Arabidopsis thaliana: one gene and its partners. The protein of the gene in region 1 interacts with the protein of each later gene in a pairwise test. Each region holds a gene or a part of one and is shown in the gene's direction. Other genes may lie near its edges.

Region 1 (9,153 bases):
TTGCTGTTGTTGCCAGTCTAGAGATTATCCGCCGTGGGATATGGAATTTCTTCAGGTGAGAAAACATAAGTTACTGCAACTTTTCTTCACCATGTATTAGCGCTATTTACTGTCACACAACATATGATATAACTTTCTTGGGGATTTGTTTATGCAAAAAAACAGGTTAGAGAATGAGCATTTGAACAATGTTGGGAAGTATCGAGCATTTAAGACGGTTCCATTACCGTTTAACTACGACGAGGATGACGATAAAGGCAACTAGTTTTCTCGGTTTCTAGTCTTAGATTCTGTAAAGACTGATTCATCCACAACGAGTAGGAGGAAGATGGACTAGACTAAAGCTGGTTCATTGAGATCAAGGAGATGTTTCACTCAGGATAACGGATATTCGCTAGATTAGCCATAGTAATTAGGGTCACTGATTTGCACTTAAAATTTGTTTCATTGAGAGAAACATGAAATTCATGGGCATCAACAAAGCAATGACTTAAAAACCAAATTCTCCCACAATAACAAAAGTAATAATCAGAAACATTCAAAGTATCAGAATAACTTAACCAAATAAATTCTAATAATCGCTCACTTTCCCTTGGTTTCTTCTTCTTCTTCCTTCTTCTTCGCCGCAGCGGCTGCCTCCTCCCCTTGTTCCAACTCCTTTAACGACTGAGTCCGCATCTCTTTCTGCATTGCTAGAAACGGTCCGTAGTAATCGACGTTAGTATACATACATGTAATCAGCTTCAATCTAGCATCTCGACAGTTCGTGCCGTCATCTTTCACTTCCCTACAATGATCAACTTCTATGAATGCATCTTTGCAATCACCTTTTTTCAAATACCGACTAAGCCAACACTCTTCACAATCTTCTTCCTCTTTCTCCTTGTTAGTCTCACTCAAATCATCATCAGAACTTACTGTTTTGGATTTGTTCGGATCTTCCGAAGCAGCAGATGAATCTCCTCCTTCATGATCCAAAGGGTCGTTACCGCTTTTTGGTTTGCTCTCAGAATTCTCAGCATTCGCATTCATAGAAGACATGGTTGTTTGATTTTAAAAGACGAAGTTAGGTTTGAGAGTCAAGAACACAAGTGGGAAGCTTAAAACCCCTCCTCTTAAACCCTTTAGTTATGTCGGCTTTTAAGTTTTAGGAAATAGTTTCGTTAAAACCTATTCTTGGAGAACAAGTGGTGGTATTCTTGGAGAACAATTTTTCTTTTATGGTATTTTAAGATTTTTTTAATTTTAAAAATGGTATTTTAAGATATTTTCTCTTTAATTATCTTATTACTTAAAATTATATACATTATTTTATAAAATTTTGACATTTGTAATTTTTTAAAGATTACTGTAGTAAAAATTTGACAGTCCTAATTAGAAGTAATTAAATTTTAACATGGTTTACTTTTTCTAATATTCACTTGTTACAATAGGGGTCAAAATATAACATTACAAAGTTTATGGTGTAAAAAGTAATAATGTAGAAGTGAAGATATTCAATTGAAATATAATTTTATTACAATTAAACCATGTCGTGGAGACATGTTCTGAAATAAAGTTATGAAGTCGGTGAGTGACTTTAGAGTCTCCCTCAAGAGCAATCAATGGATCAGAATTCGTACAGGAGAAGATCGTCTCCGATCAGAACCACTACCGGCGGTTCAAAGTCCGTTAATTTCTCCGAACTACTTCAAATGAAGTATCTCAGCTCCGGTACGATGAAGCTCACGAGAACCTTCACTACTTGCTTGATAGTCTTCTCTGTACTAGTAGCATTCTCAATGATCTTTCACCAACACCCATCTGATTCAAATCGGATTATGGGTTTCGCCGAAGCTAGAGTTCTCGACGCCGGAGTTTTCCCAAATGTTACTAACATCAGTATGTGTTCTTCCAAGTCAAAGTTTTGAGCTTTATTACTTTAGATCTCGTTCTTTACACTACGCATTTGCCTCTGTATGTCCATAGCTCTTGGTCGATTTCAATTTGAGATCTATACTCATAAAAATTGAGTCTTTGTCAGTCACAAGACTACTATTTTTGGTTTGATGTTGTTTTGGTGAAAAAGTGCTCTTTTGTTTTGGTCTCAGCTTAGACTGTTACATTCGTTTTTTCCGAGTTTTTTAGATTTTGTTCTGATTCTGTTTTGTTTTGTAGATTCTGATAAGCTTCTCGGAGGGCTACTTGCTTCTGGTTTTGATGAAGATTCTTGCCTTAGTAGGTACCAATCAGTTCATTACCGTAAACCTTCACCTTACAAGCCATCTTCTTATCTCATCTCTAAGCTTAGAAACTACGAAAAGCTTCACAAGCGATGTGGTCCGGGTACTGAATCTTACAAGAAAGCTCTAAAACAACTTGATCAAGAACATATTGATGGTGATGGTGAATGCAAATATGTTGTGTGGATTTCTTTTAGCGGCTTAGGGAACAGGATACTTTCTCTAGCCTCGGTTTTTCTTTACGCGCTTTTAACGGATAGAGTCTTGCTTGTTGACCGAGGGAAAGACATGGATGATCTCTTTTGCGAGCCGTTTCTCGGTATGTCGTGGTTGCTACCTTTAGATTTCCCTATGACTGATCAGTTTGATGGATTAAATCAAGAATCATCTCGTTGTTATGGATATATGGTGAAGAATCAGGTGATTGATACTGAGGGAACTTTGTCTCATCTTTATCTTCATCTTGTTCATGATTATGGAGATCATGATAAGATGTTCTTCTGTGAAGGAGACCAAACATTCATCGGGAAAGTCCCTTGGTTGATTGTTAAAACAGACAATTACTTTGTTCCATCTCTGTGGTTAATACCGGGTTTCGATGATGAACTAAACAAGCTATTCCCACAGAAAGCGACTGTCTTTCATCACTTAGGTAGGTATCTTTTTCACCCAACTAACCAAGTATGGGGCTTAGTCACTAGATACTACGAAGCTTACTTATCGCATGCGGATGAGAAGATTGGGATTCAAGTAAGAGTTTTCGATGAAGACCCGGGTCCATTTCAGCATGTGATGGATCAGATTTCATCTTGTACTCAAAAAGAGAAACTTCTACCTGAAGTAGACACACTAGTGGAGAGATCTCGCCATGTTAATACCCCCAAACACAAAGCCGTGCTTGTCACATCTTTGAACGCGGGTTACGCGGAGAACTTAAAGAGTATGTATTGGGAATATCCGACATCAACTGGAGAAATCATCGGTGTTCATCAGCCGAGCCAAGAAGGTTATCAGCAGACCGAAAAAAAGATGCATAATGGCAAAGCTCTTGCGGAAATGTATCTTTTGAGTTTGACAGATAATCTTGTGACAAGTGCTTGGTCTACATTTGGATATGTAGCTCAAGGTCTTGGAGGTTTAAAGCCTTGGATACTCTATAGACCCGAAAACCGTACAACTCCCGATCCTTCGTGTGGTCGGGCTATGTCGATGGAGCCTTGTTTCCACTCGCCTCCATTCTATGATTGTAAAGCGAAAACGGGTATTGACACGGGAACACTAGTTCCTCATGTGAGACATTGTGAGGATATCAGCTGGGGACTTAAGCTAGTATGATTTTTTGTGTGCCTTACTCTGTTTTTGATTATTTGATGTATCATGTAACTTCTTAAATTAGCTTTAATAAAGTCAATTTTTGTGCTTTTGACATTTTCTCTTAAAATAGATAAAACAAGAGCATAAAGGTTGAGTTTTTATTACCAAAGTCTCAGTTTTTTTTTGATGATCTTTTGCTTATTCTCTTACTCTTCCTATGTAACAAATGAGGAAAGTAAAAGGGAGAGATCAGATTTGATTTCTTTTTCCATTTTTGTTTAGATCTTAGGGTTTCTGAATAATGTATCCCTCCAGAAGAAGATTATCTCTTTCCAGAGCCATTGATCAACAACCGGAAGATCAATCAGGAGTCCAAGAAAAGAGTTGCAGATTCTTAGGAGCAATGAGAATCACAGAGATCTTAGCTTTGTTCATGGTTTTAGTCCCTGTCTCGCTAGTAATCGTAGCCATGTTTGGATATGATCAAGGAAATGGCTTTGTACAAGCATCTAGATTCATAACAATGGAACCAAATGTGACATCCTCATCAGATGATTCATCACTAGTGCAGAGAGATCAAGAACAAAAAGGTAAACTTACTTTCTTCTTTTTGTTTTGAAATGTTTCTAAATTTTTCTTTGAATGTTTCATCAGATTCTGTAGATATGTCTCTGCTTGGAGGGCTACTTGTATCTGGTTTCAAGAAAGAGTCTTGCTTGAGTAGATACCAATCTTACCTCTACCGTAAAGCTTCACCGTATAAACCTTCGTTGCATCTACTTTCGAAGCTTAGAGCTTACGAAGAGCTTCATAAAAGATGTGGACCGGGAACAAGACAGTATACCAATGCAGAAAGATTGCTTAAACAGAAACAAACAGGTGAGATGGAATCACAAGGATGCAAGTATGTTGTTTGGATGTCGTTTAGCGGATTAGGAAACAGGATTATCAGTATTGCTTCTGTGTTTCTGTATGCAATGTTGACAGATAGAGTCTTGCTTGTTGAAGGAGGGGAACAGTTCGCGGATTTATTCTGCGAACCGTTCCTCGATACCACTTGGTTACTACCGAAAGATTTCACCTTAGCTAGTCAGTTCAGTGGCTTTGGTCAAAACTCAGCTCACTGCCATGGAGATATGCTGAAGAGGAAACTGATTAATGAATCCTCTGTTTCGTCTCTGTCTCATCTCTATCTTCATCTAGCTCATGACTACAATGAGCACGACAAAATGTTCTTCTGTGAAGAAGATCAAAATCTCTTAAAGAATGTTCCTTGGTTGATCATGAGGACAAACAACTTCTTTGCACCGTCTCTTTTCTTGATTTCTTCTTTCGAAGAAGAGCTCGGTATGATGTTTCCCGAGAAAGGAACGGTTTTTCACCATTTAGGTCGTTACCTTTTCCATCCTTCAAATCAAGTCTGGGGACTAATCACAAGATACTATCAAGCTTACTTAGCCAAAGCTGATGAAAGGATTGGTCTTCAAATAAGAGTCTTTGATGAGAAATCCGGCGTATCTCCTCGAGTCACAAAGCAAATCATTTCGTGTGTTCAAAACGAGAATCTGTTACCGAGACTAAGCAAAGGTGAAGAACAATACAAGCAGCCATCAGAAGAAGAGTTGAAACTCAAATCTGTCTTGGTCACCTCTTTAACAACAGGATACTTTGAGATCTTGAAAACAATGTATTGGGAAAATCCAACTGTAACAAGAGATGTGATTGGAATACATCAGCCAAGTCATGAAGGACATCAACAAACAGAGAAGCTAATGCATAACAGGAAAGCTTGGGCAGAGATGTACTTACTCAGCTTAACGGATAAGTTGGTTATTAGTGCTTGGTCTACATTTGGTTATGTAGCTCAAGGACTTGGAGGATTAAGAGCTTGGATTCTGTATAAACAAGAGAATCAAACCAACCCAAATCCACCTTGCGGTAGAGCTATGTCACCAGATCCTTGTTTCCATGCTCCTCCTTACTATGATTGCAAAGCAAAGAAAGGAACTGACACTGGTAATGTTGTCCCGCATGTTAGACATTGTGAAGATATTAGCTGGGGACTTAAGCTTGTTGACAACTTTTAGATAATCAACATTGTAATGTTTCCTTTTTTTCTGAATGTTTCAGTTGATATTAAAAGATAGAAGAACCAAGCCATTTCCATTATTGTCTTTCACTAATGACTTCTTTTACTTAACCCTGTAATAGGCTCTGTTTTAGTGCGCTTAATCACTATTAGGCCCATATAATAATTTTCTTGTGTTTTTGTTTTCCCAACAGTAAGTGAGAAAAAGAGAAACTCAAAAGTTTTCTCAACTAACAACGGAAGAATAGGGCTTTGCTTGTTTGAGTGAATCTCTTAAACAGTGTCTCCTCATTTTAAGTAGGGAAGTTACATCAATGTCTATCTTCTTACACGCCTAACTTTGTTCTGTAACTCTTTTCTTTTTGTGTCCTAAAAACTCTTTATAAACACTAATCTACACTCCCTTAATCTCTCATCTATCCACTCACACACACACAAACCATGGCTTCTTCTTCTTCTTCTTCTTTATTATTTCCTTTCTTTCTTATTCTTTTTTCATGTTTAATCTCGGTTTCATCGTCAAGAAGATCATTAATCGACCGTACTCTTCCGAAAAACCTTCCGAGATCCGGTTTTCGATTGAGTCTTCGACATGTGGATTCCGGTAAAAACCTCACCAAGATCCAAAAGATTCAGAGAGGGATTAACCGTGGATTCCATAGATTAAACAGATTAGGAGCTGTAGCTGTTTTAGCTGTAGCCTCTAAGCCTGATGATACTAATAACATTAAAGCACCTACTCATGGAGGAAGCGGTGAGTTTCTTATGGAGTTGTCTATTGGAAACCCGGCGGTTAAATACTCTGCTATTGTTGATACCGGAAGTGACCTTATTTGGACTCAATGCAAGCCTTGCACTGAATGTTTTGATCAACCAACTCCGATTTTTGACCCGGAGAAATCTTCCTCTTACTCGAAAGTAGGATGCTCTTCTGGTCTTTGTAACGCATTGCCTCGATCAAACTGTAACGAAGATAAAGATGCTTGTGAGTATTTGTATACTTATGGAGATTACTCATCTACAAGAGGGCTCTTGGCCACGGAAACGTTCACTTTCGAGGACGAGAACTCGATTTCTGGTATCGGGTTTGGGTGTGGGGTTGAGAACGAAGGCGACGGGTTCTCTCAAGGGTCAGGTCTTGTAGGTCTTGGTCGCGGACCGCTCTCGCTTATTTCTCAGCTCAAAGAGACTAAGTTTTCTTATTGCTTGACCTCGATTGAGGATAGTGAAGCATCTAGCTCGTTGTTTATTGGATCTTTAGCCTCGGGTATCGTCAACAAAACAGGTGCAAGTTTAGATGGTGAAGTCACCAAAACGATGTCTTTGCTACGAAATCCAGATCAGCCTTCGTTCTATTACCTTGAGTTACAAGGCATCACCGTTGGAGCAAAACGCCTTTCTGTTGAAAAGTCTACTTTTGAACTAGCCGAAGATGGAACCGGAGGTATGATCATAGACTCAGGCACGACCATCACGTATCTCGAGGAGACCGCGTTTAAAGTGTTGAAAGAGGAGTTTACTTCTCGGATGAGTTTACCAGTAGATGACTCTGGATCCACGGGACTTGACTTGTGCTTCAAGTTACCTGATGCTGCCAAGAATATTGCTGTTCCTAAGATGATTTTTCATTTTAAAGGTGCTGATTTGGAGCTTCCCGGAGAGAACTACATGGTGGCGGATTCAAGCACCGGCGTTTTGTGTTTGGCCATGGGAAGTTCTAATGGGATGTCTATTTTCGGAAATGTTCAACAGCAGAATTTTAATGTACTTCATGATCTTGAGAAAGAAACGGTGTCGTTTGTTCCCACTGAATGTGGAAAATTGTAGATTTTTAATTTGTTTTTTTTTTCTTTTATTATAAATGAAATTTATACTTTGTGACAATGTCAAGTGCTTCAATAGTTTTATCCGAGTAAATTATATATCCGACTACATAGAAAATATTGGTTTACTGTTTTGCTGGTATGAAAAAACAGAAGTCTCTTTGCCACAAAAAGGAAAAAAAATCATTTTAATTTGCATATTGATGAACCTAACTAGACTAAAAATTAAGTAATTGTATATGTTTCCATGTGCCCGTGAAACCACAAAGATAATTATCATGTGCTTGGATTTTTTTGCCGCATCATGTGTGAGTTAAAGCTGGAAAAACTTCTAAATAAGGTAACATTTTGTAACAAAAAGTAGTCTATTTTTGATTATTAAAATCTATATAAATTGTTAACCATAGATTGGAGAATCTTCTAATTAATATATATATATTAATATTTACGTAACAAGAGTGGTAATTTGTTTTGGAAGGTCTTGTTCCACCATGAACAACTTTGATATAGACATTGATATGATGATTCAATATTAGAATTATTGACAATAATGAACACTAATTATTATTAAAATTATTAAACTTGGAAGCAAAGTAAAGGGGTTGGCTCAACTTCCAAGCAACTCGAGAGAGAAAGAGATGAAATGCATGCGTCATGCAATTTTTATCAATTTGGAATTATAAACACGTCGCCTAACAAACATAATTAAGCCCTAACCATCTCACCTATTTTTTTCTTTCTTAAATCAAATTGTTTGAAAACCATGAAATATATTGATGTATCTTATTATCTTATACTGATTCACTAAATTTTAACATATGTTTTTAGAAGGAAAAAAGATATATTGTATTTTAGATAGTATTTTAGATCTGTTCCTTCTACGATTGTATATTTCTCTCTCATATAGAACTTTAGAGCATATGTGGATTTGGTGTCGAATGTTCTTTGGTCGATATCTCGGAACATGAAAAGGATTAGACTAAAATGTGATTGCTTGAATTAGCTTTTAGCCTTTGACAATTGACACTCACGGGATGTTTAGTATATTATGGGCTTTAAAGGGCCCGTAATAATTTATATATTCTTGCTAAATCGACCCATTGTGAAGCCTCTCTTAAAACTAATTTATAAATGTAGATAATGAAAATTATAGTTCAATGCATGCATACATAGCCACATATCCCATATGGATTATTATTATTTTATTTTATTTTAATTTTGGGTGCAAATCCCATATGTATTAATTTACATTAAATGTAATTAAATGCTTTCATACTTTTCACAAATAACTTTCTATGATAGAAAAATACCATTACATTATTTAGAAAATATGAAATGATTTAATTTATTACATTTAATGTAAAATAATACATATGCGATATGTGTAGGTATGCATTGAATTATCATTTCATTATGAATTTTCACTACGTGGCTAAAAGAAATCGTAAATGTTTAATTTTTTAACAGAGAGAAGCCCTAGGGCACATGTATTTTGATAAATTTCCAGTGCCCAAGTCTTCATCAAACGGTGGCGATGTACGCTATATTTTATACTGTTCCGCTGGCGAAAGAATTCAGAATCGCCAGAGGCTTTTTGGTTGGAAAGAATTAATTAACATTGGCATATATAAGTAAATATTGTTAAACATTATAACATGATGAAATACAAAAGGAAACCACAAACCATGAATTCAAAGAAACGAAT
Region 2 (11,262 bases), on another chromosome or scaffold:
CAAAGCTTCAACCACGCTATGAACATGAATCATAAAGCCAGCAGTAGTGGAAGCATAGGATCTTGAGACACTCAGAAGAACAATATGAGAAACATGTTTGTTTAGGTCTTCTTAACATTCGGAAGTTAATGTTCCAGTCCATCGTTTCTACTTCTTTTTTTTTTATTAGTTTCGTTTATGCATGGTTTATGTTGGGTCTTTTTTTAGTTATAAAAGTTTGCATCTTTGTTTAAGTCCCAAAATATTCAGACATAAGTTGTTTAATTCCCAATTTCTTTGATGCTTGTAATTTTTTTTTTAATCTCGCGAAAGCAAAATTTTAGGCTGATGCCTTGGCAAAAGAGGTCTCCTCGCTTGTATGAACTCAATTCTCTAAATCGAATGAAAACAAGGTTGTCCAAAAAAAAAGAAAGTTGTTTGATCCTTTTTCCTTTTTATATATACAATAAGAACTAGAGATATTTCTCGAACAATCTCAACACGAGTTCGATTTCCGTTGTGAGAATTAATTGATTAAACCTTAGTCTCGATTGTGAAATGTTCAGAATTAAATATTATCAATATTAATTCTCCAAAAGAAATCCTAAAATGTTAGTAGCCAACTATAAAGTAGATATGTGAACCAAAAGAAATTGAGATTATTTATTAAATATATGACGAATCAACAATGATGTAATTAATACTTAGAAATTCGTTGAAATCTATGTTTTAATTAATACAACATTTATAGTCTTTAATGAATTTCTAGATTTTAAAATTTTAATTAATTATTGAAAAATGTGTTTCTTAATAAATAATTTTATTTTATAGGTAATTATGACTATATGGTTAAAGACCTAATAAAAACATAAATGAATAGTTACAACTTGCTCTCTCAGATTTTCGAGAGCCAAAACGGCCACTTTCATAGACAAAATCTTAATGAAATTAAAGAAAATCTGATATAACAAGGACATTGACAAAACGTCCAGATTGTGTTAGTATAGACGTGGATTATCATAAGACCGCCGGTTAATGCAAGGGAAAAAGCTAGATTTTGTCAGTCATCGATTCCGACAGAGATAGAGATGAGGTCTTCCACAAGGAATTTGAAACGTGCTCACTCTTTCCTTTTTATAATAAGCTTTCTTAACTTCATTATCCCTATCGTTTTCAAAAGTTGGCAAATGCATTATCACCATATAGTGAATTAGCTATATGGTTACATGAATTTTTTGAGTGAATTAACTAACCATACTGCATTTCCTTCTAATTTTTGTTTACCTCCGTTTCATTATATACTGTTTTAAAATATTTTTAACTTTTAATTATATCGTTATGAAATACACTTATAAGGGTTTTTTTTTTCTATTGAATAAGCTGAAATAATAACAATAAAAATGATTACGATCGTAAATTTGGTGTAATTTCTATGTAATGCTTTTAAATTTTTGAGACAAAATAAATTGATCGCGACAAAACAAATAAAGACTTACACTACACGTGTCTATACATTAAATAGCAAAAGCTATTGACGGTGCAAAACGTCAAAAACAAATGCCCTACGTCGCGGGTAATTAACAAACTCATCCACATATATATACGAGTTTCGTATCTCAAACATTTCATAAATCAAACCATCATATACCTCTCAAATCATTTCTTTGATTTCTATAAACACTATTCTTGTTAATGACTGACCATAAAAACAAATGGCTACTTCTCGTCTAGCTAGGTTTGTATCAGAGGTTGCTCCACCTCAATTTGTGACGGTTATGAGGAGGCATAGAGCAGCGAAGCAGAAGCTAGACACAATCAAAGAAGAAGAGAATAAAGAAGATTCTTTCAATGGTGGGATGGTGGTGATGATGAAGACATCTCATCAACATGTTTATTCACCTAATTCTTCTTATTCCTCTTCGTCTATTTCGGTTTCTATTTCCGGATCTAGCAGCTCTAAGAATTTTCGAAGCTCTTTTTCTGTCTTCGAAAACTAAGATCTACGTACTAATGTTGTATTTTTTAATGATCGGGTCGATATTTTTGTATGCACCCGTTTATATTATATAGTTCAGACCTTTTTATTTTTATTTAAAAGGTCTGATTAATAATACATGTTATACACTTATACCTTTTGGTTATCGTTTGTAATTTTCGATCGAAACCCCGTTTTAATAAGGATGTGTAGTTTTGAAGATACTTAGTTCGAAATAGTAAAAATGGAATGTTTTGCACATTTTCATAACAAACAAATATGTATGTTTAAAAGTTTTATTTTTATTTAATTATTCATTCCTAACATTTAACAAAATCTTTATAGATAAGAATATGTAATTTTGGAGATAAATAACAGAGAAATCAACGACTTTAAAAACCCTTGATTCGTTGTTCTTAGTGAGACTTTTGACTAAATTTATACACATGTGAATATTGTTAAGAATAGAGAGACCATTTGGTGGTTTTTAAAATTTAAAAAATGAAAAAAGGTTCCTTCCGATTTCTCAATTCATCTCCTGAGTGGGTTTTTCTCCTCTGTTTTATTTCTCTAATAGCCCTAGATTCAAGGAGATAAAACTGCTCAAATCAGGTGGAGATTTGCTCTGCTTCATTGGTTTTTTGTTTTGTTTGAGTTAGTGACTTTATCTATTTCTTCTTCGCCAAAAGACGAGATTTTTAAAACAAATTTCGTCTTTTTCAAATTCTCGTGTCAAATTGAGACATTTGGGTTGCTTTGATTGGATTTCGTAGACTCTATTGATCTTCAGATCGTGTCGAGATTTAGCTGCTATTGTGGGGTTTAGAATCCTTCTCTTTACCGGATTCTCAGGTTATAAATCTCCTTTACTTCTTTCAATGAAGTTGTTCGATGAATTGGCTACATTTTAGGTACTCCAGGTGCAGTTTTGTGGCACTAATTCGTCTTGTGAATCAACAAGTCGAGTGATTTTGATTGTGGAAGGTAGTAATTTTTAGTTGACCCTCACAATGAAAAGAGTAAAAAGCGAATCTTTTAGAGGAGTTTATAGTTCTAGGAGGTTCAAGTTGTCACATTTCTTACTAGCTATAGCAGGGTTTTACTTGGTTTTCTTAGCTTTTAAGTTCCCACATTTCATTGAGATGGTTGCTATGTTGAGTGGTGATACTGGTTTAGATGGGGCATTAAGTGATACTAGTTTAGATGTTAGTTTAAGCGGATCGTTACGTAATGACATGTTGAATAGGAAGCTAGAAGATGAAGATCATCAAAGTGGGCCTTCTACTACTCAGAAGGTGTCACCAGAAGAGAAGATTAATGGATCTAAACAGATTCAGCCACTTCTGTTTCGGTATGGTCGAATATCAGGAGAGGTCATGAGACGTAGGAATAGGACTATTCATATGTCACCTTTTGAAAGAATGGCAGATGAGGCTTGGATACTTGGATCCAAGGCTTGGGAAGATGTTGATAAGTTTGAGGTTGATAAGATCAACGAGAGTGCTTCTATATTCGAAGGAAAGGTGGAGTCATGTCCTTCTCAGATCTCAATGAATGGAGATGACTTGAATAAAGCCAATAGGATCATGTTGCTTCCCTGTGGTCTTGCTGCAGGATCTTCTATTACAATTCTTGGAACTCCACAGTATGCTCATAAAGAATCTGTTCCTCAGCGTTCGAGATTGACAAGAAGCTATGGAATGGTTTTGGTTTCACAATTTATGGTTGAGTTGCAAGGGCTGAAGACAGGGGACGGTGAATACCCCCCTAAGATTCTTCATTTGAACCCTAGGATCAAAGGTGATTGGAATCACCGACCAGTCATTGAACACAATACATGTTATAGGATGCAGTGGGGGGTTGCTCAAAGATGTGATGGTACTCCATCCAAGAAGGACGCAGACGTGCTTGGTAAGATTTTGAGCATCCATCATAAACTGTTGTTAGTTGCCGGAATGTAGCAAGTCCATGCTCAGAAGTCTAAGTTTGAATTACCTTAGCTTCTTTTTTATTGCTGTGTAGTTATGTTTCTTTTTGTTTTCTCTTCATCTAAGTAAATGTACTTTTCCAGTTGACGGATTCCGAAGATGTGAAAAGTGGACGCAGAATGACATAATTGACATGGTGGACTCAAAGGAATCAAAGACAACATCATGGTTCAAACGGTTTATAGGACGTGAACAAAAACCAGAAGTCACTTGGTCATTCCCTTTTGCGGAAGGCAAGGTCTTTGTCCTAACTTTGCGAGCTGGAATTGATGGTTTCCATATTAATGTTGGTGGAAGACATGTGTCTTCATTCCCTTATCGACCGGTATGTGATATCAGATGAGCATTCTACTTGTATATGGCTTTGGTCTCAGCACTCAATAGTATCATTTGTTCAAACCAAGAGGATTCATCTCGTCCATGTCTGATAACTTTGTAAAATATTTTGTGATGTCTGGCCTCTCAGGGATTTACCATAGAAGATGCCACAGGGCTGGCAGTTACAGGAGATGTTGATATTCATTCTATTCATGCTACTTCTCTTTCAACATCTCATCCGAGTTTCTCACCGCAGAAAGCTATAGAGTTTTCTTCAGAATGGAAAGCTCCTCCATTACCTGGCACTCCTTTTCGCCTTTTCATGGGTGTTCTCTCTGCAACTAACCATTTTTCAGAGCGCATGGCAGTGAGAAAGACATGGATGCAACATCCTTCTATTAAATCTTCAGATGTAGTAGCCCGATTCTTTGTTGCACTTGTAAGTTCTTACAATCTTTCCTTATTTTAAAGCATGATCTTTAAGAAGTTTAATACTGCAGGTCGATTTAATTGAAACATTGAGATGGAGATTTGCTGATTTGAAGTTCTTATGCTTTGGAATACTGAGCAGTTTATGTGTTTTTGTTGATTTGTTTTGTGTAGAATCCAAGAAAGGAAGTTAATGCAATGCTAAAGAAGGAGGCTGAATATTTTGGAGATATTGTGATTCTGCCCTTTATGGATCGATATGAGCTAGTGGTCCTTAAGACAATTGCCATTTGTGAATTTGGGGTATTGATCATTTCTCTCATGACTCCATATCTGTTTAAGTCTTTGAACAATCTCTGATAAGGATCAGTAAATGAACAGTTTCCCTCATTGTAGTTACTTTACACAAATCTAATTATGAGAGTCTGAATATCTTCCATTCAGGTCCAGAATGTGACAGCGCCATATATAATGAAGTGTGACGATGATACCTTCATCAGAGTGGAATCAATTTTGAAACAAATCGATGGAGTCTCTCCAGAAAAATCACTTTATATGGGGAATCTAAATCTTAGACATCGTCCTCTTAGAACTGGCAAGTGGACAGTTACATGGGAGGTACAATGGCTTCTGTTCTTTACCTGCATATAGTCTGTATGATTCAGAAATCAGAAGCAGCCTCAGATACTAAATTTTCTCTTATACTGTAACAGGAGTGGCCAGAAGCTGTGTATCCTCCTTATGCCAATGGACCCGGATACATAATCTCAAGCAACATTGCTAAATATATTGTTTCTCAGAATTCAAGACATAAGCTTAGGGTCTGACCCTTTATCATCGTCTTACGTTCATCTCCATCTTTTACTGTCATGAACATAAGAGTCTCCTAACATTTTCAAACTATTTCGACTTTGTTGTCACAGCTATTCAAGATGGAAGATGTGAGCATGGGATTGTGGGTGGAGCAATTCAACGCCTCTATGCAGCCTGTCGAATACTCACACAGCTGGAAATTTTGCCAATACGGATGCACACTGAACTATTACACTGCACATTATCAATCTCCGAGTCAAATGATGTGCCTGTGGGATAATTTGTTGAAAGGTCGACCACAATGTTGCAATTTCAGATGACCAAAACATAGCACTAGCCGGAAGATATTACAGGATTACAGATTTGGCACCACCTTAACCCATTTTGTAATTTTTCCTCTTTGGTGCTAGTTGCTTACATTTACACATTCAAGATAACAATCTCTTATTGTACATTGATTAGGATTTTGTCTAAGAAAGAGATTTACACTGATATCTAAACAAATTCTTTCAAAACGTCTTTGCCATAACACTATGGGGCTACCAAGAAAGAGAAGCCAAGGTCACTGTATTATACATTTATACTACTCTGCTGGTCTTTAAGTTCTTGAGTCATGTTATCAAGATTTTGGCTTTCATCAAGTCGCATTTCCTTAATCATCTGCATTTCTTGCGCTTCACTGAAAGATTTCCAGCTTTTGCAAGATGGGGAAATGGAAGAGGGCATCCACAAGATCCAGGTAGATGTCACTGAGTTGTTTTCTTCAGTGTTTGCCATAATCCTCATCCGGTAGATGTGACATACCCATAGAGACAACAAGTTTGGTTAGTATACAGATGAATTGATCAGAATCCTGATTGTATAAACAGAACATCTAAACATCAATCTTAAGAGTGTGCAGGTCAATAGCAGAAGCAACTGTAATGAAGAAAACTCGAAAGACGGATTGATTACAACAAAAAAACTGTGGCGCAAAGACTACCAATTTAATCTTTTCATGATCAGATGGATACAGCCAAATGTGCCTTTAGAATTTTGTTTAGCACCATGTTTAATCCGCACGCCAAAACCTTACGGCTGTGAAGTTCTGATACACGGTGCGTGAATCAATCAAGAAGAGAAAAAGAGAGGCATAGAGAAACTTGCACGGTTAAGATATCCAGATGAACTACACAGTGATAAAGTTTCACTTTTTATGTCTTTGAAGAAGCATTATAGATTGATAGAGAATCATCAGAGCTTAACCTGAAACGAACCATCTTTCTCCGGACAGAGAATGGCGGCGGCTGTCTGAAGTTATTTTGAGAAAGTGAAGATTTTTAGGGTTCTGAGAAGTTTCCATCACTTGAAGTCTTTTAAATTTTAATAGTATATGATAATGGAATTGCCTCGATTCTAATGCAATTGACGACAATGCCCACAAGAACAGAGCAAAATGTCTCCATTCTCAGAAACCTCTGTTCTGCTACTTCCCATGGTCGAGAAATGCATAAACCTCTTGCAAACCTACGGCGTTTCATCGATAACGAAACTCAGACAAATCCACGCTTTTTCAATCCGCCATGGAGTCTCAATCTCAGACGCCGAGCTTGGGAAACACCTCATCTTCTACCTTGTTTCTCTTCCTTCTCCACCTCCCATGTCTTACGCTCACAAAGTCTTCTCCAAGATTGAGAAACCCATCAATGTCTTTATTTGGAACACATTGATCAGAGGCTACGCCGAGATTGGTAATTCCATCTCTGCTTTTTCTCTATACCGTGAGATGAGAGTCTCTGGTTTGGTCGAGCCAGATACTCATACTTATCCGTTTCTTATTAAGGCTGTGACGACAATGGCGGATGTTAGATTAGGAGAGACGATTCATTCGGTTGTTATAAGAAGTGGCTTTGGTTCGTTGATCTATGTTCAGAACTCTCTGCTTCATTTATACGCAAATTGTGGAGATGTAGCTAGTGCGTACAAGGTGTTTGATAAAATGCCTGAGAAAGATTTAGTGGCTTGGAACTCTGTGATTAATGGGTTTGCGGAAAACGGTAAACCAGAAGAAGCTTTAGCGCTTTATACTGAGATGAATTCCAAGGGTATCAAGCCTGATGGGTTCACAATTGTTAGCTTGTTGTCTGCTTGTGCAAAGATTGGTGCTTTGACATTGGGTAAGAGAGTTCATGTCTATATGATCAAAGTAGGTTTGACACGAAACTTGCATTCCAGCAATGTGCTCTTGGACTTGTATGCGAGATGTGGAAGAGTGGAAGAAGCCAAAACACTTTTCGATGAAATGGTGGACAAGAACAGTGTCTCGTGGACTTCGTTGATAGTCGGTTTAGCTGTTAATGGTTTTGGGAAAGAAGCCATTGAGCTTTTCAAGTATATGGAATCAACGGAGGGATTGTTACCATGTGAGATCACGTTTGTTGGGATATTATACGCTTGTAGCCATTGCGGGATGGTGAAGGAAGGTTTTGAGTATTTCAGGAGAATGAGAGAGGAGTATAAGATTGAACCTAGGATCGAGCATTTTGGTTGTATGGTCGATTTGTTAGCTAGAGCTGGACAAGTGAAGAAAGCATATGAATACATCAAGAGTATGCCGATGCAGCCTAATGTTGTAATCTGGAGAACATTGTTAGGAGCTTGTACTGTTCATGGTGATTCAGATTTAGCAGAGTTTGCTAGAATCCAGATCTTACAACTAGAACCAAACCACAGCGGCGATTATGTTCTCTTGTCGAATATGTACGCATCCGAGCAGCGTTGGTCCGATGTGCAAAAGATACGGAAACAAATGTTAAGAGACGGTGTGAAAAAAGTCCCCGGTCACAGCTTAGTAGAAGTAGGAAACAGAGTTCATGAGTTTCTTATGGGTGATAAGTCTCACCCACAAAGCGATGCTATTTACGCTAAGCTGAAAGAAATGACTGGTAGATTGAGATCAGAAGGTTACGTTCCACAAATTTCTAATGTCTATGTAGATGTTGAAGAGGAAGAGAAGGAGAATGCTGTGGTTTATCACAGTGAGAAGATTGCTATTGCATTTATGTTAATTAGTACACCAGAAAGATCACCGATTACAGTCGTGAAGAATCTTAGAGTATGTGCAGATTGTCACTTAGCAATCAAACTTGTGTCAAAGGTTTATAACCGAGAGATTGTAGTCAGAGATCGTAGCAGGTTTCACCATTTTAAAAATGGTTCTTGTTCTTGCCAAGATTACTGGTAGTCTGGTAATGCAGAAAATAAAATTATTGTTTCATCGCAGATCGTTCAAATTCTACGGACAATCTTCGTTAATTAAAGTCTTCTAGGGGAAATTTGTAAAATTTTAAAGTATATATGTGGGTAAATTTTGCATAGATAAAAGTAATGGGTTCAAATCTTGCAACTAAAAAACTTATAGGGGCAAAACGAAAATTGAGTGAAATGAGATTATACCGCGTGTTTTCATGGCGGGATTGGAAATATTTTGAAGTAGATGAAAATTTGGCGCTTTTTATTTAGTCTGTAAAGCTTTCAAGGGAAGCCTCTTTGAAGGACACGCTTCGTCATCTATCTATCTATATACCCAAAGAGTCGCTTTGTTCCTGATTCATCAGATTGATTCGTTTCGTTTTCTCTGAGTGAAGATCGAAAATGGCGGACACTAGTCACCTGGAGAGGATGGGAAGAGAACTCAAGTGCCCTATTTGGTAAATCGCGTCTCTCTTTGCTCAATTTTGTGACGAGCATAAACCCTGATTTCGTATTGTCTGACTAATGAATCTCGTTTAACTGCCTTGGTAACAATTTTAATTTGTTTTTTTTTGTTATTGGCAGCTTGAGTCTATATAATTCTGCAGTTTCACTTTCGTGTAACCATGTATTTTGCAAGTAAGTACCTTTCCTTAGTTTGTTCTTTCTTCGTATTCTCATTTCATCAATCTTTAAAAGTAATGAACACATGGTCTTCTCTTGATTTCAGTGCGTGTATAGTGAAATCTATGAAAATGGATGCTACTTGTCCTGTTTGTAAAATCCCTTACCATCGTAGAGGTACTTTCTCTTGCTCTTTATTGATCTCAGAGTTCAGCTTTATCTGTTGTTAAACCTAAGTTTGCAGTTTGATGATTATGTTAATATGTTAGAGATTCGAGGTGCTCCACATATGGATAGCTTGGTGAGCATTTACAAGAACATGGAAGATGCTTCTGGGATTAAATTATTCGTTAGCCAGAATAATCCGTCACCATCAGGTACTTAAAATTAGGACCAATGCTTTAACATTTTGGTTGGCTTGAACGAAACAAAGGCAGTGATAGACTCGTTGCAAGTTCATTTTAAGCGTAGTAACTGGATTTTAATCATTTCACTTGAAATTGAACTGTCTCTGAATTCAATTGAATGGTCTAAAAAGTGGAATTTTGTAGTAAGAAAACCCTAAAAATGCCGATTAAGTTCCCACATGAATGAAGAGAATGCTCGGATTTTACCTGAATGAAGAGATATGTATTTCTTTCTAACTTGTGTTCTGTGATATGCGTCTACAGATAAAGAAAAGCAAGTAAGAGATGCTTCCGTTGAAAAGGCAAGTGATAAGAATCGTCAGGGATCTAGGAAGGGCCGAGCATCCAAGAGGAACGAGTATGGGAAAACCAAGGAAATAGATGTAGATGCACCTGGGCCTATTGTTATGAAACCTTCATCCCAAACCAAGAAGAGGGTGCAGCTGCTCCAGAATCTGTCTGCTGAAAGTTTAACTAAACCTACTGAGTCTGTTGAAACAGCTGAAAAACCCAAGGACTACACTGAAAACACTGTGATTCGTTTGGATGAGCATCCATCTCTGAATAAAGAAGGAAATCTTTCACCCTTCTTTTGGTTGAGAGATGAAGATGATGGGGAGAACTCAAGTCAGCGTACAGAAAGTGATCAACTTTTAGGGACTACACCAGTTAATGTTCCCTCTTTCAGCGATTTGATGGACTCAGATCATGAGAGCCCATCGAAGGTCCATACTCAAAAACCTCAATAGCCTTTTTAGTGCTATCTTTCAGGATTCATATTGCATTATATTGTTCTGTAGTATTGATACATTCTACACTAGTTTATGATAGAAATGTGTTTGATAAATGTTAGTTATGCGGTGGAGGTTATCTTTGATTTAGATTGAATACTGCGAGTTAAAAGGTCTTTGACACATTTATTACTCATAAAAGTCATACTCAGTTACATGGAATTCCCTCATTCTATCCAATATCCTAAAAAAGTGTCGGATCCTTTGATCTTACTTTTTTTCCGATGAATGTTTCAGGAAGACGAGCAACAAAAGCCCAATCCAGGTGACATGTTTGATAGCGAAATGTTTGAATGGACTCAGAGGCCTTGTTCTCCGGAGATTCTACCTAGTCCTGTGAAGGCCAAGGTAAAGGCTGTTCTTCACTCTGGTACAGCAAGGTCTTTTTGTTTTCTATGATAGTGTCATCAAGTGTGTTGAAATGAACTCAAATTTCATCGATTTGCAGGTCCTAGGTAGAGATGAGATTGATCTTACTCAAAAGAAGCTACCTAAAGTTAAAGTTGCATCATCCAAATGTAAAAACCGCAAAGCAGGAAGTGCAAGAAATACAGTTGCTAGACGAAGCATTGGGGTTTCACAAGAGGACAACATGGAATCATCTGCAGCAGCAACCATTAGTGAGCAACAAGATAGTCGTGGGACTTCTGGCACAATTATCAGGAATGATGTGAATACTGATGAAAATGTGAAAGCTAAAAGAGCTA
Region 3 (10,885 bases), on another chromosome or scaffold:
ACATGGTCTACCGGATCCACAAGAGCATTAGGCTTCTATTTACTTGGACATTACGTTGATGAGAAACCCTTCTTGTAATCTTTTACCAACTATCATCTACGGTTTTTAAGAATTCAGTTTGACCAAAGTTTAACAAAAGTTTTATATTTTATTTGACACTAGATGACCGTTAATACTAAACCATCTTTGATCTAACATGAAATTTACTCAATCAAATATATATATCATTGATTAAGTATGATGATTAAATTGCAAATCTAACCATAAATGCAGATCCAATTATAATGATATAGTTGCTCGATTATGAGAACCCTGGAGATTTTATTATGAAATCTATAGGCCCAATTATCAGAATCAAAACTCAATCAACTAGATGATGTGAAATCAATTTTTTTAATGTATGTACACATTATTATTATACAATCATGGCCAGAGAGGCCATACCACATGTGTATAGTACAATCTCACATGTGTCAATGCCAAATAAAATTCATAAAAATTAAAAACATTGGCTTAAGAGTTGAAGACATGTCCCATGTTCACTTTGGTTTATCTCTTCAATATCTCCTAAAAATTGCATTTGCTTGGTTGCTAGGACACACTCGCATACAGCTACATGAATTCTGAATGACCCATATGTTCCTTTTAGCTCCAAAATTACTAGTTATTTCTGTTTTGCCGGTTTTTATTTTCTACTTTTAGAATCATGACAAATAAATACAATAAAAAAAGATTTCAATATCCATAAGAGACTATTTTAACGTTGATCAAAAAGTGATTTGAATGTTTTTCTGAATTGTCTACATTTTACTACCTAGCTCACATATTTATCTGGCATGGTATTCATGATTTATTATCCAAGTCCCAATTAAGACTAAAAGGGACATACTGGCTCTAAGTCACTTGTTTCGGATCCCACTACTTTTTGGGAAAACTTCTAACATTAAGAAGTTTTTGAAGATTTTTAAAATGTAATGGAAACTATATACAAGTCATTCGAAAAACAAGATCTAGCCATTCCATAGGGGTTCATAGAGATGTTCAAGACTTTCCATATGTGTGTGTGTACCTTGTGTATGAATAAAAATAGATAAAAAGACTATCATTTGACTTCTAAGCAGTTAAAATATTGTCTCATTGATGATATTGACCAATCAAGCATAAACAAAATTGTTTTTACGATGAAGAATAATAATTTAATGAGTTAAATACAAAACCTCACCGATTGCATCTGAAAAATCTTAGAAGATTCACTATATTGTTTATTGAATTATTGAAAAATATATTCATTAATTAATAAGTGATATATATATATATATATATATATATATTTGAAAATATGATTGAGAACAAAAAGATACAAACTTGGCCGTCTCATGTGGTAGACCTTACTTCAGTGTGACTGTGCTGATGAAAGAGCATGTGCCTCTATTAATGACATATATATAAATTATACATATGGTTCTCGTAACTAATTCTATAACATAACACAAATACAATTCGAAAATTTGTTTGTAGGTCACGCAATTAAGAAATTAAAACCTAATAAATGCTTAGTGGGAGGAATCCCCATCAGCAAGAAAACTCAAAATCATCAACAAAAAAAAGGAGAGATTATTCATAAAATTTGTTTGATAAAAACAGATATGAATAAGTAGCTTTAGTAATGCTATAAATCTGTAACTCCTAGTCTTGTTTGTAATGTTATAATTATGGTGCAAGAGAAAATATGTTTTAGATATTCAAAATCAGATTGATGAACTATTACATTTACAGTTTACCAGCTCAAACACGTTTTAGATCAACCGCTAATAAAAACTGGTCAAAATATAACACCTAATCACAAAAGCATCATAAGTATGTCATAAGCGACCAAAATCAACTTAATAAAAAAACAAAGTGGTAAAACACTAGGGCCTGATAACTTGTATAGCTGTCTTGTACAGTGTAATAATCATCATATATATTCTCTTCTTAAGTCTAATGGGTTATTCAACATTTATCCACCATCTATTTCAGATTAATTAATAGCTGCCGTCAAAAATAAAAAGGATAATAATAATGTTGTGATATAAGATATTATAGAATATATATTTTAATATAATAATATTTTATGTTCGTAAAATAGAAACTTCCCATGTGATTTTCTTCTCTCACCGCCGGTTACGGTTATTGTCTTTTTCTTAGACTTGAAAATATTAAATCTTTTTGTTATGGAATTTTACTACACAGCTTGTATTCATATAGTTTTGGGTTAATAGTTAAAACATAAAACATATATCGTGATTATAGTTTACTCACATTTTACATGTTGTTACACTGTCGATATCTATCAAATATATTACTGTTGTAATTTCTTTTCAAAAATACTGTTCTAATTTAATCCTGCATCCAACAAACTTTTTGACCAGAGAGAACCAATATATATATCAGTATGTCTATAAAAAAATATGATAATTGTGAAAATGAGATCCATATTTTTGATTATATATATAAGTGAAATAGATTTGATTTGATTTACTTTGCAACGTCTTGTGACACAAGCATGACATAATCGAACCCATCTAACAATAACATGCAGTATATCGTTGAGCTTCTAGCAAAATCAACAAAAATCTAAAATCTTTTAGTAAAATAATATTAAACCTTTTATCATTAAGAATTTTTTTAAAATTAACAATAAACCCATGACATTTGTCTAATCTGCCATAGAGTTGAGGTGGGACTTCTAACATGCTCTATTATCTCTTGTACTCCGTTGATCATCGATGATAAATCACAAGCTAAATGTTTGTGAATAAGTGAAAATTTATCTTGGAAATGAAAAATTATCCAAATCAAAGGGTTACAGTAACTGGATAATTCATTTAACACTTTGAATCAACAAGATCAAATAAAAAAAGTTGGAAGACAGTGAAGCGACAACATAGTCCATTACTTTGAGTTAAAGTAATATTATAATTTAGTAAAGTTGATCTAATTACATTTTTATAAGTTTAATCTGGTCATCGCTGGACCAAGTTGTCATCCTCCAAATTCCTTACCAATCATACAAATTGATTTTTGGCCTTTTCTTGGAATCATCTCTTTTTTTTCTTTGTGTTTTTCTTCTCATTCATTTTGTTTTTCTTTAATACACACACATGCATGTATAAACGCAGTTTTATGACTGGACATATCGCGTAAGATCCATAAGCCAATAGCTTTTTTTAAGTAAAGTATTTTCATTTTATGGGTATAATTATAAAGATGTAAATTTCCCCAAAATAATATAAACAGCAGTCTCTCTCCTACTTAATCAAATCACTAGACGCGGATTTGCTTAACAAAGTAACTTTAAACCAAATCGTTCCACCTAAAAGGCTAAAACCATTAGGATTGATTTTGGTCAAAAAAATCGGTTACTATTTTTTAATTTACTTAGAAGACTGGCAAAAAAAAATGATTCCAAACTACTAACATATAAGATAAAATGTATTTAACATCAAATTAAAATTTTCACGTTAACTAATATAAAAAAATGATATGAAAGAAAACCCAACTAATCTTTGATTATATGCGTTAGCCTTCTTCATTAGCCTTCTTTAAATACTAGATTAGTACTTGATAAACTTTTATTGTCTATACAATATATCAAAAAAAATGCCTCTAAATTAACTACATAAATTAGTAATTTCTGAAAATTAATAAAAAAAACACGTAACCATAACTTCCGAGTATGTTTACTTTAATAATTTTCACGGGATTCTGAACTCTAAATAAAGATTGATTGATAAAAAAATATTAAAATAAAATTCACGGGATTTACAAATTAGTTATCATTTGAATCATTTGTTATAGAATCTAAAATAAAATAGTAAATTGATCATATAGTAAGAAATCAAATTTTCTTTTTTTGTCATAAATAAATATAATTTGTTCTTTAGTTATGCACGCTGGAAATAGATCCCACTAATAAAAATTGGACTTTTCAAACAAAGAAAATAATTAAATAAAATCTTCCTTTACAAAAACAAAAGAGGAAAATTCAAAGAAAGGAGAACTCTCTTCTTCTTCTTCTTCTTCTCCTCTCCTCTTTATTTACTTAGTTGGTTCACTTCAGCACATGATCCTCGTCTCTCTTTCTTTCTCTCTCTCAATCACAAGTTTCAGTTACACAGCTGAACCCAAAGTATCTCACATTCTGATCTAATCAGAACACTGTTTTGTCTGTGTAACATAAACAAACGATCCTGTTTTTATGGAAAATTTAATGAAACAGTGACGATTCTTCTACACTTCTTTATAATGACAAACATTTCATAGTACCAAAATACACAAATACCTTTTCTTTATTCTTCTCACCCTTCTCTGTTTCTTTATCATTCATGGCTCCAAATTCAGTAGCAGTGACAATGGAGAAGCCAGACAACTTCTCTTTACTAGAGATCAACGGCTCAGATCCATCCTCATTCCCCGACAAACGTAAATCCATCAGTCCAAAACAATTCTCATGGTTCCTTCTTCTCAAAGCTCATAGACTCATCTCGTGTCTCTCGTGGCTAGTCTCTTCGGTTAAAAAGCGAATCGCGTTCTCCGCGAAGAACATTAACGAAGAAGAAGATCCTAAAAGCAGAGGAAAACAAATGTACAGATTCATCAAAGCTTGTCTTGTCATCTCCATTATTGCCTTGTCCATAGAAATCGTTGCACATTTCAAGAAATGGAATCTTGATCTCATTAACCGACCGTCTTGGGAGGTTTACGGGCTTGTCGAATGGTCGTACATGGCTTGGCTCTCGTTTCGATCCGATTACATCGCTCCTCTTGTCATCAGTCTCTCCAGATTCTGCACTGTACTCTTTTTGATTCAGTCTCTTGATCGGTTAGTCCTCTGTCTCGGTTGCTTTTGGATCAAATTTAAAAAGATCGAACCTAAGCTCACCGAAGAATCTATCGATTTAGAAGACCCCTCCAGTTTCCCAATGGTCCTTATTCAGATCCCAATGTGCAACGAACGAGAGGTAAACTATAAACACTCTGTTTTTACTCTGTTTTCACTTTGGTTTTACTCTGTGTTGCTCTGTTTTTACTCTGTTTTTATTCTGTTTTATGTTCTGTTTTCTCTTACATAGTATAATTGTTATGTTTTGTTTTCTTCTAGGTGTATGAACAATCAATAGGAGCAGCTTCACAACTTGATTGGCCAAAAGATAGGATCTTAATTCAAGTATTAGATGATTCAGACGATCCAAATTTACAGCTTTTGATCAAAGAAGAAGTATCGGTTTGGGCCGAAAAAGGCGTAAACATAATTTACAGGCATAGGTTGATCAGAACTGGTTACAAAGCTGGCAATTTGAAATCAGCCATGACTTGTGATTACGTTAAAGATTACGAGTTTGTGACTATCTTCGACGCAGATTTCACACCAAATCCTGATTTCCTCAAGAAGACTGTTCCTCATTTCAAGGTAAGAACACAATCTCTTTATTCCCAAACTTATAAAAGGAAACTTCTTTCTTGACGTTTCGTAATTTACGATGAATGTTTTAGAGAAATTCACTGGAAAAAGATTTGTTTCTTTTTTACACTTTTTTGATAGAAAATATTTTTTTGATTATACTCATCACCGACAGTTGTCTTTGCTGGTTTTATCTATTTTTCGGTGGATCATGTTCTAAGTAACCGACAAATTTTTATATTGTTTTTTGTATTTTTGGTTTTATGTTAGGAAAATCCAATTTGGTAATTTGTTATGTATGAAATCGAAGTAACCGACAAATATGAAATTACAAAACTCATGACTTCTTTGGTTGATTTTTCTAACATGACAAGTCTTCAAATTCAATCTAGTTGAAGCTAATCTTGATTCTGTTTGATTCCGGGTTTCAATTATTCCTTTGTTTTTACATTTACATATTATAATAATAATTGTTTTATAAGTTATTGTTTTGTGAAAAATCGAAATTCTATTATTTTATTTTTATGTACCCCACCTAAAGAGCATATCTTATTTTTCATGTGGGTTGTTGGAGTCGAACTCAAGATGACTGAGACCGGAATTTTTAAGTAGACTAGTCAATAGATTTTGTTAAAATGTAAAAGTATATTCATGTGGAAGTTTACATTTATGCAAACATTTTTGAATATCAAGATTCTTACGAGTGTTGTGTTGTTTGTTTGCACAGGGTAATCCAGAGCTAGGGTTGGTCCAAGCAAGGTGGTCATTTGTGAACAAAGATGAGAATCTCCTCACGAGGCTACAAAACATAAACTTATGTTTCCACTTCGAAGTAGAACAACAAGTGAACGGTGTGTTTCTCAATTTCTTCGGATTCAATGGAACCGCTGGAGTATGGAGGATCAAGGCATTGGAAGAATCCGGCGGATGGCTCGAGAGAACCACCGTGGAAGATATGGATATCGCGGTTAGAGCGCATCTCAACGGCTGGAAGTTTATTTACCTTAATGATGTTGAAGTCACTTGCGAGTTGCCAGAGTCTTATGAAGCTTACAAGAAGCAACAACATCGTTGGCATTCCGGTCCTATGCAGCTGTTCCGGTTATGCCTTCCTTCAATTATCAAATCAAAGGTAAAAGTTTATTTCTACAACTAGTGATAGTAGTTAAACATCATTACATATACTCATTGTTTGTTTTTGTGTTTGTAGATATCGGTTTGGAAGAAGGCGAATTTGATCTTCCTTTTCTTTCTTCTAAGGAAGCTTATTCTACCATTTTACTCATTCACACTCTTTTGCATTATACTTCCATTGACAATGTTCATACCCGAAGCCGAGCTTCCGTTGTGGATCATCTGCTATGTTCCTATCTTCATTTCGCTTCTCAACATTCTCCCGTCACCTAAATCTTTCCCTTTCTTAGTCCCTTACCTTCTTTTCGAAAACACAATGTCAATAACCAAGTTCAACGCCATGATCTCCGGGCTGTTTCAGTTTGGATCGGCTTACGAGTGGGTTGTGACGAAGAAAACCGGGAGATCATCGGAGTCCGATTTGCTAGCGTTTGCTGAAAAGGAAGAGAAGTTGCATAGGAGAAACTCGGAGTCAGGTTTGGAGCTTCTGAGCAAACTTAAGGAGCAAGAGACAAATCTTGTAGGGCAAGAAACCGTGAAGAAGAGCCTTGGAGGGCTAATGAGGCCGAAGAACAAGAAGAAGACGAACATGGTGTTCAAGAAAGAGCTCGGGCTTGCGTTCTTGCTGCTAACCGCAGCTGCAAGGAGCTTTCTATCGGCGCACGGTCTTCACTTCTACTTTTTGTTGTTTCAGGGACTGTCTTTCTTGGTTGTAGGGTTGGATTTGATCGGAGAACAGATCAGCTAGACACACACAAAACCAAGACAGAGAACAAGGAAAAAAATACCGTTTATATTCACTATTTTTTTGTTTGTTTTTTAAATTCTTTTCCCTTTTTATATGTGGGTTTTATACATAATTTTCAAGAACTTATAATGTCCAGTTTCAGATAAATGAATTGAAACGAATTTGTTATATGATTTTGGCTTAACTTTAAAAAATCATAGCTCTTAGATGTTTTGTTTGGATAAATATTCAACAGTATTTCAATCACAATTACTCAATCACATTACCTCTAATAGAAAATATTTTTGTCTTCTCAACTTTGATTTGATTACCATAGCATTTGTGGACAGAATGAATGGAACTACAAACTATTCTCATTAGTGGAAAGATTACAAATGATAATTTGTCTAGTCATAGTTTAATTTGTCTCGGAAAAATACTCAAAAGAAGTGTAGATAGAGATCAGATTAGTTATCTATATATACATTTTTGTAGACGTTTTTGAAGATAATGTTGAAGATTTGAGCCATAATTCAACAATTAATTCAAATGGGTGGGTATAACCCGGTTTAACTCTGTTCGGATCTTGGATAACATGTTTAATTCTGTTCTGATCTTGGATAACATTAATTTTTGGAAAAGTTACCTAAAAACTAATAATTAAAAACAAAAATTAATGATTTAATTACCAAATTTAATATAAACAATATCTCTAAACTAACCATATTTGTTATTTACTTTAACTATTTTCCTAAAATATTTCTACCTAATTTAAACATAAATATATAATTCTTCTTTCACTTTTATTTGATCTTATACTTTATTTATTTTGAATTTATATAAAATATATATAGTTAATAAAATATTATATTTTTTTCTGCATATGATGTAATTCAAATTTTTAAAACGGACATATATTATTCAACCTATGAAGAAATAATATGTGTACAATGTCCCACATCGCTTAGAAAAATTGTACAATGGTTCAGACCCATATTATAAAAGGACCAAAATGATTCTGATTACGAATGAGCAGGAAACTTGATTTATCAGGCGTCCAAAATTAAAATAGTTATCCGATTTACTCGGGTTTTTTATTTTAAAGATTTGAAACTTTAAAATGTTTCAAGAAATTATAAATATTATAACTTTATCAAAAGTTAAATATTATAATTTTAAAAACTTTTTATAAAGTCTATCTTTAAAAAATGCTTTAAATATTTATAATTTTAAAACTTATAAAGTTTTAAAAATTATAAATTGAATTTTACAAAAAATTTAAACATGATAAATATATATATAATATATTAATACGAGACGATATATTACAGGAAAAAACTTAAATATAATCAAGGTCGATATTGTATTTTTTGTAAGTTTCAAATTTTATAATATTGAAATTAATAAGAAAATGACAAAATTGTTTAATTTCACGGGACTGGGTTGTATGGTAGGATGGGTTTGGGTGGATAATAATTAAGATTGTACAATGTCCCACATCGCTTAAAAAAATTGGACAATGGTTCAGAGCCATACTATAAAAAGGACCAAAATGATTTCGATTACGAATGAGCATGAAACTTGATTTATGAGGTGTCCAAAATTAAAATGGTTTGTTTACTAGGGTTATTTATTTTAAAGAATTGAAACTTTAAAAAGTTTCAAAAAATTAAAAATTAAGTTTTACAAGAAATTTAAACAATATAAAAGATATTAATATGGGACGATATACTGCAAGAGAAATCTTAGATATAACACTCAAAATTCAATGATGAAGTTTGGGTCAATATTAATCTTTTTTGAAGTTTCTAATTTTATAAATATTTGAAATTTATAATAAAATGACAAATTTGTGTTTAATTTCACGGGACGGGGTTATATGGTGTGACGAGTTTGAGTGGATTATAACATGGGATGGTATGCTACGGAAAAAACCTATAATTAACAATCATAATATAATTATATAATCTTAAACACTAAACAAAATTAACAATATTAAAAAAAAACTTAAAACTTTAATTTTTTAAAATCACATTTCGATTCTTTTATAAGATTTCTCTCGCAGTACTACCACGGGTGAAATCCTAGAATTGACGGGTTTGAATCGATATTAATATGGGATGGTGTACTACGGGTGATATTTTAGAATTGACTGGTTTATGTTGATAATAATTTGCGATAGAATTAGGAGTGAAATCCTAGAATGACAATTAAAATATAATTATACAATTAAATACTACCACGGGTGAAATCCTAGAATTGACGGGCTTGATTCGATATTAATATGGGATGGTGTACTACGGGTGAAATTTTAGAATTGAATGGTTTGGATTGATTATACTTTGCGATAGAACTAGGAGTGAAATCCTAGAATGACAATCAAGTTATTATTATACAATTAAATACTACCACGGGTGAAATCCTAGAATTGACGGGTTTGATTCGATATTAATATGGGATGGTGTACTAAGTGTGAAATCCAAGAAACAACAATCAAAATACAATTATACAATATTAAACATTTAACAAAATAAACAAATACAACTTAAAACTTTAAAATTTGAGTTATAAAATTTTGTCTCGCGGTGAATTATACATTTCAATCAAACAATAGCATAAATTTATTAAAAATCATCCTAAAAAATATTCAATTATTTTTTTTTTAATGAAAATATAGGCCCGCGGTATACCGCGGGTTAATATCTAGTTAAGAGAAATAAGAAATTTAGAGAAATCTAGGGTTTTTAGACTATTGAATTACATATTGTTTTGTTTGCTTTAACTTTTAACATCTGTTTTTAACAAGGGCAAGTTAAAGTGATTCTTTATTTTTTTGACAATTTCTTACAAATTTGGGAATTTAGTCTATTCATTAGATGATTAGAAAGATTTTTTTTTTTGGAAATTTTCCCTTTGTTGTCTTTATTTTTTACTTGCTCTGGAAGCAAAAACCCCTACTATCGTATCTGTGTATATATTCAGCCGTTTGGCCAAGAGGAACAAGATTATAAACATTGCTTGTGTTCTTACAATTCTAACCGAAGACAAATCGTCAATCTTGTACAGCATTTCTAGGTATGCTCAGTTTTCTGTCTAGAGTCAACACCGTTTCTCTCTTTGTTTTGTTATTATCTCTGTCCGATGCTTTCTGTTCGATTTTGATTCTAGGTCAGTTCATCAAGAATATTATGGGAATCTGGAGCTATATGGGGAAAACATCAGTATTCATATTTGGTCTTGGATTCTACACTTGTAAGTCGCTATAAAGGATCTCCGGGTCATTGAATAGTTTATGATTGTATTTGTACTGTTTTAGTCTTTTGGAAATTAAGCCTGATCAGTGTGTTATTGTCGTTCTTTCAGATGCTGCTTTATTCTCTAACTCAGATAATAAGGTAAACACATTGATCTCAAATCCCAATAATGCTCTTTAGCTTTTGTAAAAATACTATCATCGTTGATTGAATTTCTCATGTTTCAGATGCTTATGACTCAGTTGGAATCCTTCAAAGAGGTAAACAAGCAAGAAATTGTGTTAATATTTTTAAAGGATACAAAATGTTTTTTTAATGTGTCTACTC

What was found.
Region 2: the proteins of FT1 (region 1) and AT4G21060 come close enough for resonance energy transfer, tested with the Arabidopsis thaliana proteins (one study listed by BioGRID).
Region 3: the proteins of FT1 (region 1) and CSLC04 come close enough for resonance energy transfer, tested with the Arabidopsis thaliana proteins (one study listed by BioGRID).

Annotation. Positions count from the first base shown.
Region 1 is NC_003071.7:964,805-973,957, reverse strand, and holds FT1 (fucosyltransferase 1), read left to right. Parts: upstream 1-1,541; 5' UTR 1,542-1,604; coding exon 1,605-1,881; intron 1,882-2,157; coding exon 2,158-3,557; 3' UTR 3,558-3,713; downstream 3,714-9,153. Other genes in the region: AT2G03240 (EXS (ERD1/XPR1/SYG1) family protein), read left to right, coding at 1-55, 166-265; AT2G03230 (GCK domain-containing protein), read right to left, coding at 583-1,041; FUT2 (fucosyltransferase 2), read left to right, coding at 3,838-4,126, 4,191-5,623; AT2G03200 (Eukaryotic aspartyl protease family protein), read left to right, coding at 6,067-7,452. UniProt on the Arabidopsis thaliana protein: Involved in cell wall biosynthesis. Is both necessary and sufficient for the addition of the terminal fucosyl residue on xyloglucan side chains, but is not involved in the fucosylation of other cell wall components.
Region 2 is NC_003075.7:11,239,039-11,250,300, forward strand, and holds AT4G21060 (Galactosyltransferase family protein), read left to right. Parts: upstream 1-1,691; coding exon 1,692-1,868; intron 1,869-2,487; exon of another isoform or gene 2,488-2,727; coding exon 2,728-2,806; exon of another isoform or gene 2,807-2,964; coding exon of another isoform or gene 2,965-3,049; coding exon 3,050-3,865; intron 3,866-4,025; coding exon 4,026-4,267; intron 4,268-4,408; coding exon 4,409-4,699; intron 4,700-4,863; coding exon 4,864-4,992; intron 4,993-5,133; coding exon 5,134-5,307; intron 5,308-5,402; coding exon 5,403-5,510; intron 5,511-5,612; coding exon 5,613-5,822; downstream 5,823-11,262. Other genes in the region: DOF4.4 (Dof-type zinc finger domain-containing protein), read left to right, coding at 1-35; AT4G21065 (Tetratricopeptide repeat (TPR)-like superfamily protein), read left to right, coding at 6,938-8,725; BRCA1 (breast cancer susceptibility1), read left to right, coding at 9,136-9,191, 9,319-9,372, 9,464-9,534, 9,627-9,734, 10,029-10,489, 10,793-10,903, 11,004-11,262. UniProt on the Arabidopsis thaliana protein: Possesses hydroxyproline O-galactosyltransferase activity. Transfers galactose from UDP-galactose to hydroxyproline residues in the arabinogalactan proteins (AGPs). Is specific for AGPs containing non-contiguous peptidyl hydroxyproline residues.
Region 3 is NC_003074.8:10,501,743-10,512,627, forward strand, and holds CSLC04 (Cellulose-synthase-like C4), read left to right. Parts: upstream 1-3,968; 5' UTR 3,969-4,367; coding exon 4,368-5,003; intron 5,004-5,143; coding exon 5,144-5,452; intron 5,453-6,170; coding exon 6,171-6,575; intron 6,576-6,653; coding exon 6,654-7,325; 3' UTR 7,326-7,523; downstream 7,524-10,885. Other genes in the region: AT3G28190 (uncharacterized protein), read left to right, coding at 10,493-10,556, 10,668-10,699, 10,786-10,818. UniProt on the Arabidopsis thaliana protein: Beta-1,4-glucan synthase rather involved in the synthesis of the xyloglucan backbone than cellulose. Seems to work simultaneously with xyloglucan 6-xylosyltransferase.